3 linked regions of the Oryctolagus cuniculus genome follow. The protein of the gene in region 1 interacts with the protein of each later gene in a pairwise test. Links are inferred from orthologs where the notes say so. Each region holds a gene or a part of one and is shown on either strand. Other genes may lie near its edges. The genes, in order: CEBPG, CEBPE and ATF4.

Evidence for each region.
Region 2: the proteins of CEBPG (region 1) and CEBPE interact in a two-hybrid assay, tested with the Homo sapiens proteins (2 studies listed by BioGRID and IntAct, with this or other methods). The link is inferred for Oryctolagus cuniculus from reciprocal best matches to the Homo sapiens genes CEBPG and CEBPE.
Region 3: the proteins of CEBPG (region 1) and ATF4 interact in binary tests that used the Homo sapiens proteins (3 or more experiments, as listed by UniProt). The link is inferred for Oryctolagus cuniculus from reciprocal best matches to the Homo sapiens genes CEBPG and ATF4.

The regions. Positions count from the first base shown.
Region 1 is NC_091449.1:21,554,310-21,558,404, forward strand, and holds the start of CEBPG (CCAAT/enhancer-binding protein gamma), read left to right. Parts: upstream 1-1,295; 5' UTR 1,296-1,435; intron 1,436-1,962; exon of another isoform or gene 1,963-2,073; intron 2,074-4,095. UniProt on the Homo sapiens protein: Transcription factor that binds to the promoter and the enhancer regions of target genes. Binds to the enhancer element PRE-I (positive regulatory element-I) of the IL-4 gene. Binds to the promoter and the enhancer of the immunoglobulin heavy chain.
Region 2 is NC_091443.1:51,898,577-51,902,212, forward strand, and holds CEBPE (CCAAT/enhancer-binding protein epsilon), read left to right. Parts: upstream 1-1,198; 5' UTR 1,199-1,700; coding exon 1,701-2,210; intron 2,211-2,671; coding exon 2,672-3,007; 3' UTR 3,008-3,136; downstream 3,137-3,636. UniProt on the Homo sapiens protein: Transcriptional activator. C/EBP are DNA-binding proteins that recognize two different motifs: the CCAAT homology common to many promoters and the enhanced core homology common to many enhancers.
Region 3 is NC_091442.1:115,754,815-115,758,635, forward strand, and holds ATF4 (cyclic AMP-dependent transcription factor ATF-4), read left to right. Parts: upstream 1-1,401; 5' UTR 1,402-1,605; intron 1,606-2,053; 5' UTR 2,054-2,154; coding exon 2,155-2,371; intron 2,372-2,460; coding exon 2,461-3,269; 3' UTR 3,270-3,321; downstream 3,322-3,821. UniProt on the Homo sapiens protein: Transcription factor that binds the cAMP response element (CRE) (consensus: 5'-GTGACGT[AC][AG]-3') and displays two biological functions, as regulator of metabolic and redox processes under normal cellular conditions, and as master transcription factor during integrated stress response (ISR).

The sequences.
Region 1 (4,095 bases):
CAAACACCCAAGTCTCTGGGCGTGGACTAGACCTGCTGGGTGTGGAGGGCCTGCTCAGACAGAGAAAGCTGCAACAGCCTGGCAAGGCGGTTAGCAAGCCAGGGCAGAACTTCATATACCTACATACACTGTGTTTTTTTTTTTCTTTTCCTACAATTTTTAAAGGATAAGGAAATGTTTAGGGTAAAATTATGATTTTTATGAGCAACAAAACATAACCCATTTTTAATGGTGCTCAAATCACAATGGATCAGACCGATCTCGGCTGCGAGCACCGAGCGCCAGAGAAGCACACTGGTGTGGTACACAGGGTGCCTTGCTGCCCGCCCAGCCTCTACACCTCACTCTCAGCTGCAGCCCCTTCCTTTTCTTCTTTGCAAGTGGCTTGGCATCTCTCGCTGATTCCTAAGAACAGTCTATGCCGAAGCCGGCCCCAGCACCTGGGCCTCTTGGAACGCTCAGAATTGCTAAGAGGAAGCACCCAGGGCGCTGCTCTCGGGCCCTCCTGTGCAGGCTCTTACAGGAGTCAGGCTTCGGAGCCATCCTTTTCCCAGCGATCACCTCTCTCCTGGGAGACTCCACAAGGCAAGGATTTCGGAAATCCAGTGTATTTCCAGTGTATTTCACCGTCACCAAGAACCCCCGCCTGCAGTTCCCACGAATGTGACAACAATACTAATCCTATGCTGGCAAGCTCTGCTTCATTCGTCTTCAAAACACAAAAGTTTGCAATCGCCTTGAGGACCGCTGAGGGTTCTGGGCTCTTCCTTCCCCTCTTCCACCCCTGCTAAGGCTGCATCCCCCCGGCGGGCTCAGGCCGGTGGGCGAGGCGGCGGGTCCCTGGGGGCGCTCCAGGAAACTCTGGGGCGTGATTCAAAAAAACCACCCCAGGAATGTTGTTTCCCAAAAGCAGGTGTGGCCTTCACAAGGCGAGGCTGCCTCTAGCCTCCGGCTGGGACACGACTTTTCTCTCTACACGTATCCCACGGCGAGGGACCTGCCGCCGCCGCCGCCTCCCGCGGGCGGCTGAGGAGCCGCAGGCGGCGCAACGAGCCACTGCCGGCTCCCACCACACCCGCCACGCCCGCCGGCCGCGCCGCGCCGCGCCGCGCCGTGGCCAACGCCTCCGCCGCGGCCCGCCTCCCGGAGCCACCCGGCTCGTGACTGGCTGATGCCGCTGTCCGTCACGAGAGGAGGGTGCGTCACCGCCGGGCCGGCGTTCCCATTGGTCGTGGCGGCGGCGGCCACGCGCGCGGTGCCGGCGAGGAGGGGAAGCCGGTGGCCGCGGCGGCGGAACGGGCGGAGGCAGCCGGTTTCGTAACCGTCGCTCCTCCTCGTTGACTCGCGGGCAGCTAGGCCTGGGTCGGGTCGGGTCGGGCCGCGCGGGGCCGCTCGTAGTGGAGGCCGCCTGGGGGCGGGCGGGCTGGAGGCGCAGGTAAGGAGGCCGCGGACTGGAGGTCGGGCGGGCGCGCCGAGAGGCGGAGGTGGAGGCCGCGGCGGCGCCGGCGGCTCGCGTCTGCGCAGGGCCCGGCCCGAGGAGACCCGAGGCGGGCGGGCGGCCGGGAAGGCCCAGCGCGGCTCCAGGCGCGGGCGGCGGCCCCGTGCGGCGTCTGATGCAACCTGCCGGCAACACCCGGCGGGGGCGCTGAGCTCATCCCTGGCGGCGGCCCAGCGCCGCGGCGCCGCCCGCCGACCCCCGCGCTCCCGGCGCGGCCGGAGAGGGATGGGGGACGCGGTGTGCCCCCTCCCGGACCGGGCCCTGTTTGTGAACCGCGCTGAGTGTGTGTGTGTGAGACCAGCCCGGCGCGCATTGGCCCCTGGGGATGCGGGGTGTTCCCGCAGCGGCGGAAGGCGGACCGTGTCCTGCCTGCGTTCCGCATAGGATGTTTGCTGCCCTGTAATCGGCTCGGGCCGGGGTGGCGGTGGACAAGTGTTGGAGAAGTTCCTGGAGTGGGGAAGTAGGGAAGACAGCTGGCTTTTAAATGCGTAACTGCACGGAAAGGTGGTTTGCCGGTGCACGGGCATGTCGGCCTGCACTTGCCGGTTGGATGAGGCTTGGAGGAGCAGGGCAAGGTTAGCGCGGCCGCAGGGAGCCCCGGGCCAGCAGCCCGCCGAGGTGCGTGTCGTCCGGGGAGGGTGCGAGGGGCCGGGGGCTCTGCCCTTCCGAGGAGGCCGTGTCTTGCCCGGCGTCGGTTTTGGAAGGGGTGTAACAGCTCCGCACCTGGGAGCCGCTCGCTCTCAGCGGCGTTCTTCGAGTGGGTCATCATTCGGAGCAGAGCTGCCTCTCCCGAGAAAGGTGACTCCCAAAGAAAAGTTTGAAACCCGATCCTGTAAGGACTTGCTTTCGGTGTCTGAAAGTTCTTGATGGTTTAGGATCCGGTCAGTGGTGTTTGGGGTAGGCTGTTCCTCGGGTTGTTTCTGGAAAACCTGAAAACCAAGGCTGAATAATTCCAGGATACTAGGGGATATTCCAGTTTTTTGATTCCCCGTTTCCGGTGGGCATGCGTGGCTGGTTCAATTATTTTTACTACCTGTCTTAAACAAATAGGGGGAAACAGGACTTCATGTCTTCAAGAGCCCATCTCTGAATCTCAGGAGCCCATCCAGACTGTCAGCTCTGTGATGGGGGAGGGGGGCGGTGGTCTCCTCCCGGGGGCCTTAGGCGGCACCTGGGAAGCCTCTGGGAGCCGCAGCTCGCACTCCCGGCGCTTGGGTTTGGTCTGGTGGTCCCGGATTGCCTGACCCTGTCACAGAACCAGTGGGAAGCACAGGTAGCCACAACTCCAGGCTTGTCGTCTGGCAGTGTTCCGGGAGGGTGGTCCAAACACGGAGAGGTGACAGTGGTCTCCTGCCTTTTTGGCTTTCTAGCTCTGTCAGTAAAAGAAGAAGCAAAAACTGAACACACACTGTAGTAGATGTGTATTTACAAACAGTTTGTTTTGTGTGTTGTAAATCAGACCAAACGTGGATGGGAAAGGTGACGTTTAAAAAGACAAAACAAACACGAGTTCTCCTTCTGGTGTACTCCCTGAAGAGGGGGCTGTCCCTCCCTCAGGGCCCCTGCAGCCGGTGCTGGGCCTGCCTTTAGCTTTGTCTGCAGTGGTGCACCCTGTGGAGCTGGGATTGACAAGAAGCGGGGGAGCAAACTGGACAGAAGCGCTGCGATAAGAGAAGGTGGGCAGTGTTCAGGAGCCAGTGGTGGTCTAGTGCTGCCGAGACGTGCCGTGGAAGGGAGCCAGGGCTGGAGAGGGGCTCGGGACCTGGGGTCGGACCTGCGGACTGGAGGAGGAGGGTGTGACACACTCAGGTTTGATTGCTAGGTTGCTCTCGCCACCGCAGTTGGGGGAGCTAAGCCTGAGAGATGATGTCAGGCTGACGTAATTTAGGTGGCACTGGGATGGAGGAGAATGAGGGTAGGAGATTCTTGTTGTTACTGTGTTTGTTTGTTTGTTTTTAGGTAGAATTGTCAGGTTTAGTGATTTGAGCTGAGTTGGAGAAGGGAGAAGCATTCAGGAATACTTTGAAGCGTTGGCCTTCACTGGGAAATGGAGTGAAAAGTTTGTTTTAAGGAGCCAGCGGAGAAACATCATTCTAACTGTAGGGGGGGGGTGTGGGACAGAGGGTTTTTGGGAAAATTCTTTTTTTTTAAAGATCTTATTATTTATTTGAGAGGTATAGACAGCGAGAAGGAGAGACAGAAAGGTCGTCCATCCAGGAAAATTCTTGACAGGTTTATTTTCCCAAGTGAAACTTGAGAAAAATTTCATTTTACTCATTCTAACATTGTTGATTTTCCGTGTGTTACTGATTTGAAAGAACAATACTCAAGAGATTCGCATTAAAAAGCCAACCTTAAAGATCCATCAGTAATGACACCAGGGGCTCAGTGTCAGCATCACCAAAGTCATTTGGCAGTCCCTGGAAAAATGGTGGTGCAGCCCCGTTCCCGAACGCCTGAGCCATAGATCAGGACACCTGAGAAGGCGCGTTTCTGAGAAGTTCCTAACCGATGATGATGATGATGGTGGTGGTGGTGGTGGTGATGATGATGGTGGTGGTGGTGGTGGTGATGGTGGTGGTGGTGGTGGTGGTGGT
Region 2 (3,636 bases), on another chromosome or scaffold:
GTTACAGAGAGAGAGAGACACCTATCTTCCATCCACTGATTCGATTCTCAAATGGCCACAATGCCCAGAGCTGGGTTGGACCAAAGCCAGGAGCTGGGAGTTTCTAGGTCTTCCAAGTTAGGTAGCACGGTCCCAAGCATTGGGCCATCCTCCATTCCTTTCCCAAGCACATTTGCAGGGAGATGGATTGGAACAGGGGCAGCCAGGAATCGAACTGGTTCCCATATGGGATGTCAGCACTGCAGGCAGCAGCTTAACCTGTTACACCACAGCACTGGCCCCTGAAAATAATTTTTAATGCTTATTTTTTTTTTTAATCTGCTTGAAAGGCAGAGTGACAGAAAGAGAGAGACATGAGATGTGAGTCCCACGAGCCGTGGCTTAACTGCTGTGCACAACACTCTCCCCTGAAAATAAAGATTTCCAAAAATGTTTGAAAACAATCAAGAGGTATAGAGAAGCAGCCACGGGCTTCTCCAGGAGACCCTGAAACGGAGCCCCAGGCTGAGGCGATGACAAAGGAGAAGCCTCCTCAAGCCTCTCAAGAGGAAGTAGACCCGAGAGCCGTGCACGGAGGTCAGAGAGCAGCCACGCACAAGGAAAAACAGCAAAGGAGCTGCAGCGAGCTTCTGAGGCCGGCAGCCCAGGGCACAGGAAACCGGAGGCAGAGCTTCAGGGCGGGGGCGGGGCGTGGGGGCCGCAAAGTGCCAGCCTGAGCCTCTGGCAGCGCACAGCAGCTGGAAGAGAGGCACCGGAGCCACCCATGGGGACAACTGCCGGTTCCTGGGGCCGCAGCCAGCCTGGGCCTGGGGTGCAAGACCCATAGCCAGCCCAAGCACCTTGGCCAAGCCCAGGCAGGTGGAAATGGAGCCAGGCTATTGCCAAGGCTGAAAACTCACATCATCAGCACTTGGGTGACCGCACGGACGCTGTGCAGAATCCTAGCCACTGAGCATTCTTGGGCCCAGGACACAGGCTCCCTGTGCAGCTTGCTCCCAGAACCCATCAGCACTTCCTAAACCCCCCAACAACACCCTTGGGCTCTGGGAGGGGCGGGGCTAGAGAAGGAACTGACCGCCCCTGGGGGTAGGTGGAGCCCAGCTTGAGGGGGACCCTGAAGAAGGCGTGTCCAGGGTGGAGCCCACAGCAGGCTGGGGGTCAGCACTGGAAGAGGGCTTGCTGTGTGCACTCTGGCTTGGCACTTCAGCTTGCACAGAACTTTCTGAAAGTCAGAGGGAGGAGGACATTCAGAGTGAGGTGTTGCCCTCAGTGAGGATCTGCAGTCCCCTGGGCACAGCAGCGTCGGGGGTGGGGTGGGACCCCATTCCCAGAAGCATCAGCTCCGGGCTTGTCCAGAACCCTGGCTTGCACCTGGCCCAAGAGTGCCCCCAACTGCTAACTGGGCCAGGGGCCCTCTTTCTCGGAAGCCTTCATCCTTCCCCCTGGGGTGTGCCCTGCCCCTCCCTGAGTCACCCCAGGGAGAGAGGGGGGGAAAAAGGGAAGAGAAGAGAGGCATCGACTGCAGAGGAAGGAAAAGGAAGCAGAGCAGAGGAGGGAGAAGAGAGGCCACGCGGGAGCCCAGAGAGGACAGCTCTGGGGCAGATCTCGGGCAGGGGGTAGCAGAGGGCAGGCAGGCCAAGCATCCTGAGGGGTGCCCGGGCAGCAGGGCGGGGGCGGGGAGCCCAGGGGGCGGGCCGGCCATGTCCCACGGGACCTACTACGAGTGCGAGCCCCGGGGCGGCCAGCAGCCACTTGAGTTCCCGGGGGGCCGAGCAGGGCCCGGGGAGCTGGGGGACATGTGTGAGCATGAGGCCTCCATCGACCTCTCTGCCTACATTGAGCCCGGGGAGGAGCAGCTGCTCTCCGATCTCTTTGCCATGAAGCCGGCACCTGAGGCCCGGGGCCTTAAGGGACCGGGAAGCCCTGCCTTCCCCCACTACCTGCCGCCCGACCCAAGGCCCTTCGCCTACCCCCCACATACCTTCGGCCCAGACAGGAAGGCGCTGGGACCTGGCATCTACAGCAGCCCAGGGAGCTACGACCCCAGGGCTGTGGCTGTGAAGGAGGAGCCCCGGGGGCCAGAGGGCAGCCGAGGTGGCAGCCGGGGCGGCTACAATCCCCTGCAGTACCAGGTGGCACACTGCGGGCAGACGGCCGTGCACCTGCCCCCGACCCTGGCAGCACCAGGCCAGCCCCTGCGCGTCCTCAAGGTAAGAGCTGCTTCCCTTGGGCTGGGGCGGGGTCCCGGCTGACATTCGAGTCTGTGTTTAGTACTGTTCGCTGAAACTGCCCCACTCCCAAGTCCTCAGTGCTCGCCGCTGGGCCATGACCCTGCTCTCTGCACCCGGACCTTCCATCCTAGTGGCTGCTGATGCCCCCCCCCCCACCATGCCCCCTCCTCTTGCTCTCCAATTCCTACTTCTAGAAGAGGAAATGCCTCTGATCACAGAATGGGAGACAGAGTGCCAGGGGTTTGGGTCACCGACAGAGCACTTGTGTCCCGGGGCCACAGAGTGATGGCTGCTTTGGCCTGGCTCTAAATTCTCTATTCTGTCCATGCCCCAAGGGCTCCCTGGCCACAGTAGGGGGTGGTGGGGTGGGTGATCCCCTGCCCCACCTCCACTCTACCCCCTGGGCTCACCCCTCCAACCCTCTGTGCCTTCCCCTGCAGGCCCCCTTGGCCACCACCGTGCCCCCCTGCAGTCCCCTCCTCAAGGCGCCCTCCCCGGCTGGCCCCTCGCACAAGGGCAAGAAGGCAGTGAACAAGGACAGCTTGGAGTACCGGCTGCGGCGGGAGCGCAACAACATCGCCGTGCGCAAGAGCAGGGACAAGGCCAAGCGGCGCATCCTGGAGACACAGCAGAAAGTACTGGAGTACATGGCGGAGAATGAGCGGCTGCGCAGCCGCGTGGAGCAGCTCACGCAGGAGCTGGACACCCTGCGCAACCTCTTCCGCCAAATCCCCGAGGCCGCCAACCTCATCAAGGGCGTCGGAGGCTGCAGCTGACTGTGGGCACCAGGCAGGGCCCCAGAGCCCGAGTCTGGGACATTGACCATGGACAGACGGCAGAGGGGAGGGAAGGCAGGGCAGGACCCCGCACGGTGATAATGAGACTGCTGAATAAAGCCGTGCTGTGCCCAGAGCCTGGGCCTGTTCTGTGTGGGTGTGCACGTGGGGGGAGGCGTTTGTGTGTGTTTTGCACGTGTGGCACGAGAAGCCTAAAAAGCAGGGAATGAGTGTGGCTGGGTCCTTGTGGCTTCCATGCTGGGATGAGTTTGTGGGAATGCTGACCTGTTGCCCACGGCCCAGGGCAACGCCACTCTACCTCCCCAACGCACACCTTCCTCTTCCTCCCTACTCTATCTTTCCAGAAGCTGAAGGCACCCCCGACTGCACACATACACACACACACACGGGACCTGGAGTAGTCTCTGGGCCCTTTCCTCCCAGAGATCCGTGGCTAATCGAAAGGTCCCAGACCTCACAATCCCGCGCCCAGGCCTGTTGGCAGACCTGTCTCAAAGGGATAGGTCTGTGAGCTCCAGCCCCAGACAACAAGGGGAAAAGCCCGAGGGGACTGCCACATTCACCTCCTCCCCGCGTTCTCCAGCTCCACAGCCTCAGACAACCCCAGA
Region 3 (3,821 bases), on another chromosome or scaffold:
GAGGAGCTCTCTCTGCCTCCCTGTGACTCTTACCTCTCAAATAAGTTTAAAAAACTTGCTTCTTTACTTGAAAGGCAAAAATTAGGAGTTCTTCCATCTGGTTCGTTCCCCAGATGGCCAAGAGCTGGAACTCCGCCGGGTCGCCCACGTGGGCGCAGGGGCGCAAGCACGGCTCTCCCGGGCGCATCAGCAGGGAGCGGGCGGGACTCCCGGGATGGATGCGGGGTCGCGGTGGCGGCGCGGGAGTCCCACCCCCACCGCCTTCCTCCTGACCCCCGGGCAGAGTGCCGCGCCCTAGGCCTCGGCCGCCGGTCAGTTCCGGGAGGAGCCCCCTGAGGAAGCAGAGTGACCCCACAGGGGTAGCCGGGAGTGGGGACCCCGAGTTAGCGTGGCGGGAGCGCGTCCCGCGCGCGGGCCGGGCCCCAGCACGGCCAGTGTCCGCCAACAGACGGGGGCGCCGGGGCTGCCCGTGCACCCTGGGAAGGGTGGCCCTGGCCCCAGGGCAGGTTGTCTGTCCAGCCAGCAGCGCTCGCGGAAGGGACGCGGGAGTGGAGCTCTGCGGGCCGGGGCCCGGCTCCCCGGGAACTCCTGTCCCCCGCAGGGCCACCGGGCCTTGTCCGGAGCTCGTGGGAACCACCCGGGGTCGCAGCGGGGCTGAGCCTGCAGAGGCCAGAGGCGTCCCCGCAGCGACGCCCTGCAGCAGAAAGGGCGCCGCGGACACGCAGGCTGGCCAGCGGCTCGCGGAGGTCAGCGGGAGGACGCAGAGCCGGCCCCGGACGGCGGCAGGCTCCCCGGCCCCGAGGCCCGGGCCCGCTCGCGGCGGGCTCGCTCGGAGGCCGCTGGGCGCTGATTTCTACCGCTGCGGCCGCCGAGGCTACAACCAAAGGCACGGCTGCACGCCAGGCCGCTCCCGCCCTTTCCCGCGCAGACCCGGGCCCCTTCGCCGAGTGGCCCGCCCCCCTCGGGCCCTGAGCCAATAGGAGCTCAAGGTATATATGACTCCTCAGGCCTGAGCCAATCATCTCGACGCGCGCTCCCCGCCAGCGTCTCGCGCGATAGCCGGGCGGCCTCGGCCTTCACAATAAAAAGCCTCCTTGGAATGAAAGGCTCTTCACGCCCCGCCCCTGAGAGAGATCCCTCCGCGCATCCGGGCATCCGAGGGGGAAAGGACGAGACTCTTTGATCTTGGACGCCTTGTAAAGTAGTGCGCCTTTTTCCCGACGTGAGATCTTGAAAGTAAACTACTTTTCTGTACATGGCTACGCCTCGGACATAAAAGCTCGGGGGAGGAAAGTGGTGGGGACGCCGGGGAGTGGGCAGGAGGCGCGGGTCACATGGCCGCGGCGGAAGGATGCGTCCTGTGATGCGGCTCGGAGGCGACCAAGTCTATAAAAGCCCGGCGGGCCGCGCGCCGCCGCCATTACCGCTGCGCCCGCCCGTCGATGTAGATCTCTTGCGAGCCGTGCCCTTCCTCCTCCCGTCCCGCAGGGCCGCGGCCACCATGGCGTATTAGAGGCAGCAGTGCCTGCGGCAGCGTTGGCCTTTGCAGCGGCGGCAGCAGCACCAGGCTCTGCAGCGGCAACCCCCAGCGGCTTAAGCCATGGCGTGAGTACCGGGCCGGGCGAGGGGGCCGGGGCCCGGCGTCTGCGGGCCCTGGGCCTGGGCCTGGGCTTGGGCGCGGCCTGCGGCCGGGGGTCGGGGCCGCGTCGCCGAGGCGGAAGCGGTTTTACGAGCGCCGGGGACGCGTGGTTCCTGCTTGCGTGTCCTTGGGCGGGGTCGGGAGAGCGCGGCCCGGCGCCCGCGTCCCCGGGGAGGTGGGGGCGCGCTGTCCTCGGAGCCCCGGCCCCCGCTCTGCGCCGGCGGGGGTCGCGGTGGCCGCCCCGCGAAACGTGGCGGCGGCCAAGATGGCGGCGGGAGGCGGCGCGGGGTGAGTCACGGGGCGGGGCCGGGCGGGCGGGCCGGGCGCCGGCCCCGGCGGGGGCGGCCATGGCCGCTGTGCACCTGCCGCCCGGCCGGCCCCCGCCCTGATGGCGCCCCTGCCGCTCGCCCGCAGGCTCCTCACGGCACCCAGCAGCAGCGTTGCTGTCACGGACAGAGACACCTTCGAGCTGAGCCCCTGCCCCGGTTCCAGCGCAGCCCCGCGACACGGCCGACATGAGCTTCCTGCACAGCGCGGGGTTGGCGGGGGACTTGGCGTCCCCCTTCGACCAGGCGGCTTTGGGGGCTGAGGAGGGCCTGGGGCTCCTGGACGACTACCTGGAGGTGGCCACGCCCTGGAAGCCTCCCGGGCCCCCCGGCGACAAGGCTGCGGCGGGCTCCTCGGAATGGCTGGCGGCGGACGGGCTGCTGGGCGCCCCCGCCGACGGCAAGGGTGAGCGCCGCGGGGGGTGGGGGTGGGAGGGGGCGCCCGTGTCGGGGGGGGGGCGCCGGCCTCACGCGCCCTCGCTCGCGCCCCCGCAGAGGACGCCTTCTCCGGGACGGACTGGATGTTGGAGAAAGTGGACCTCAAGGAGTTCGACTTCGACGCCCTGCTGAGCTTGGACGACCTGGAGGCCGTGCCCGACGAGCTGCTGGCCACGCTGGACGACTCGTGCGACCTCTTCGCCCCCCTGGCCCTGGACGCGCTCAAGGAGCCGCCCCAGGCAGGGAGCCCGCTCGGCCCCCTCCCCGCGAGCCTGCCGCAGGTCGCCCCCTGCACCTTCCTGCAGCCCCTGCCCCTGTCGCTGGGGGTCGCGGCCGCCTCCCCGGATGAGTCGTTCAGCTTGGAGCTGGGCAGCGAGGTGGACATCGCGGACGGGGACCGGAAGCCCGAGTCGCCCGGCCTGGGCCCCGTGGTCCCGCAGGGCGTCAAGGAGGAGGACAGCCCCTCCGACAACGACAGCGGCGTCTGCATGAGCCCCGAGTCCTGCCCGGGCTCCCCGCAGCGCAGCCCCTCCGCCCCCACCCCCAGGGGCTCCCCGCACAGGGGCCCCCCCGCCCCGGCCCGCCCCAAGCCCTACGAGCCTGCGGCGGCCGCGGCGGCGCGCGTGAAGGGCGAGAAGCTGGAGAAGAAGCTCAAGAAGATGGAGCAGAACAAGACGGCCGCCACGCGCTACCGGCAGAAGAAGCGGGCGGAGCAGGAGGCGCTGGCGGGCGAGTGCCGGGGGCTGGAGGAGCGCAACGCGGCCCTGCGGGAGAGGGCCGACGGCCTGGCCAAGGAGATCCAGTACCTCAAGGACCTGCTGGAGGAGGTGCGGGCGGCCCGCGGCAGGAGGAGGGTCCCCGCCTAGGGCGCACGCACAGGAGGCTCCGCTGTTAATAAATTATTTTGTAGTGAAAGCATTCCTGGGAGTTGTCCTGTGGCTCACACCCTCTGGGCGTGGTGGGGCGGGCAACAAGAGTCCCACGCGGGATGGTGGGATCTGGTCTGGGGCGGGCACTCACTCCATGAGTGGCTGCAACTTCCTTGTTCGGTGTTCCTGTGTGTGTGTGTGGGGGTGGTCACTGGCTCCAGCCTGCACACACACAGATCATGGGAGAGCTGTCTATTCGAAGGCAGAGTTGGAGACGGTCCTCCATCTGCTGGCTCACACACCCAATGGCCACGGCAGCCAGGGCTGGGCTGCAGCAGAAGCCTGGAGCTGACAGATGCAGGGGCCCAAGCACTCACCACAGCAGAGAGCTGCAGCAGCTGGGATTCGAACTGGCACCCACATGGGGTTCTGGCACTGCAGGCTGCTTCACCTGCTATGCCCCAGCACTGGCCCTGAGCTGGGGGGCCAGACCCCGCTGTTCTGGGCCAGCCGTTAGGGACAGCCACAGTCTGGGACCGGGACCCATTG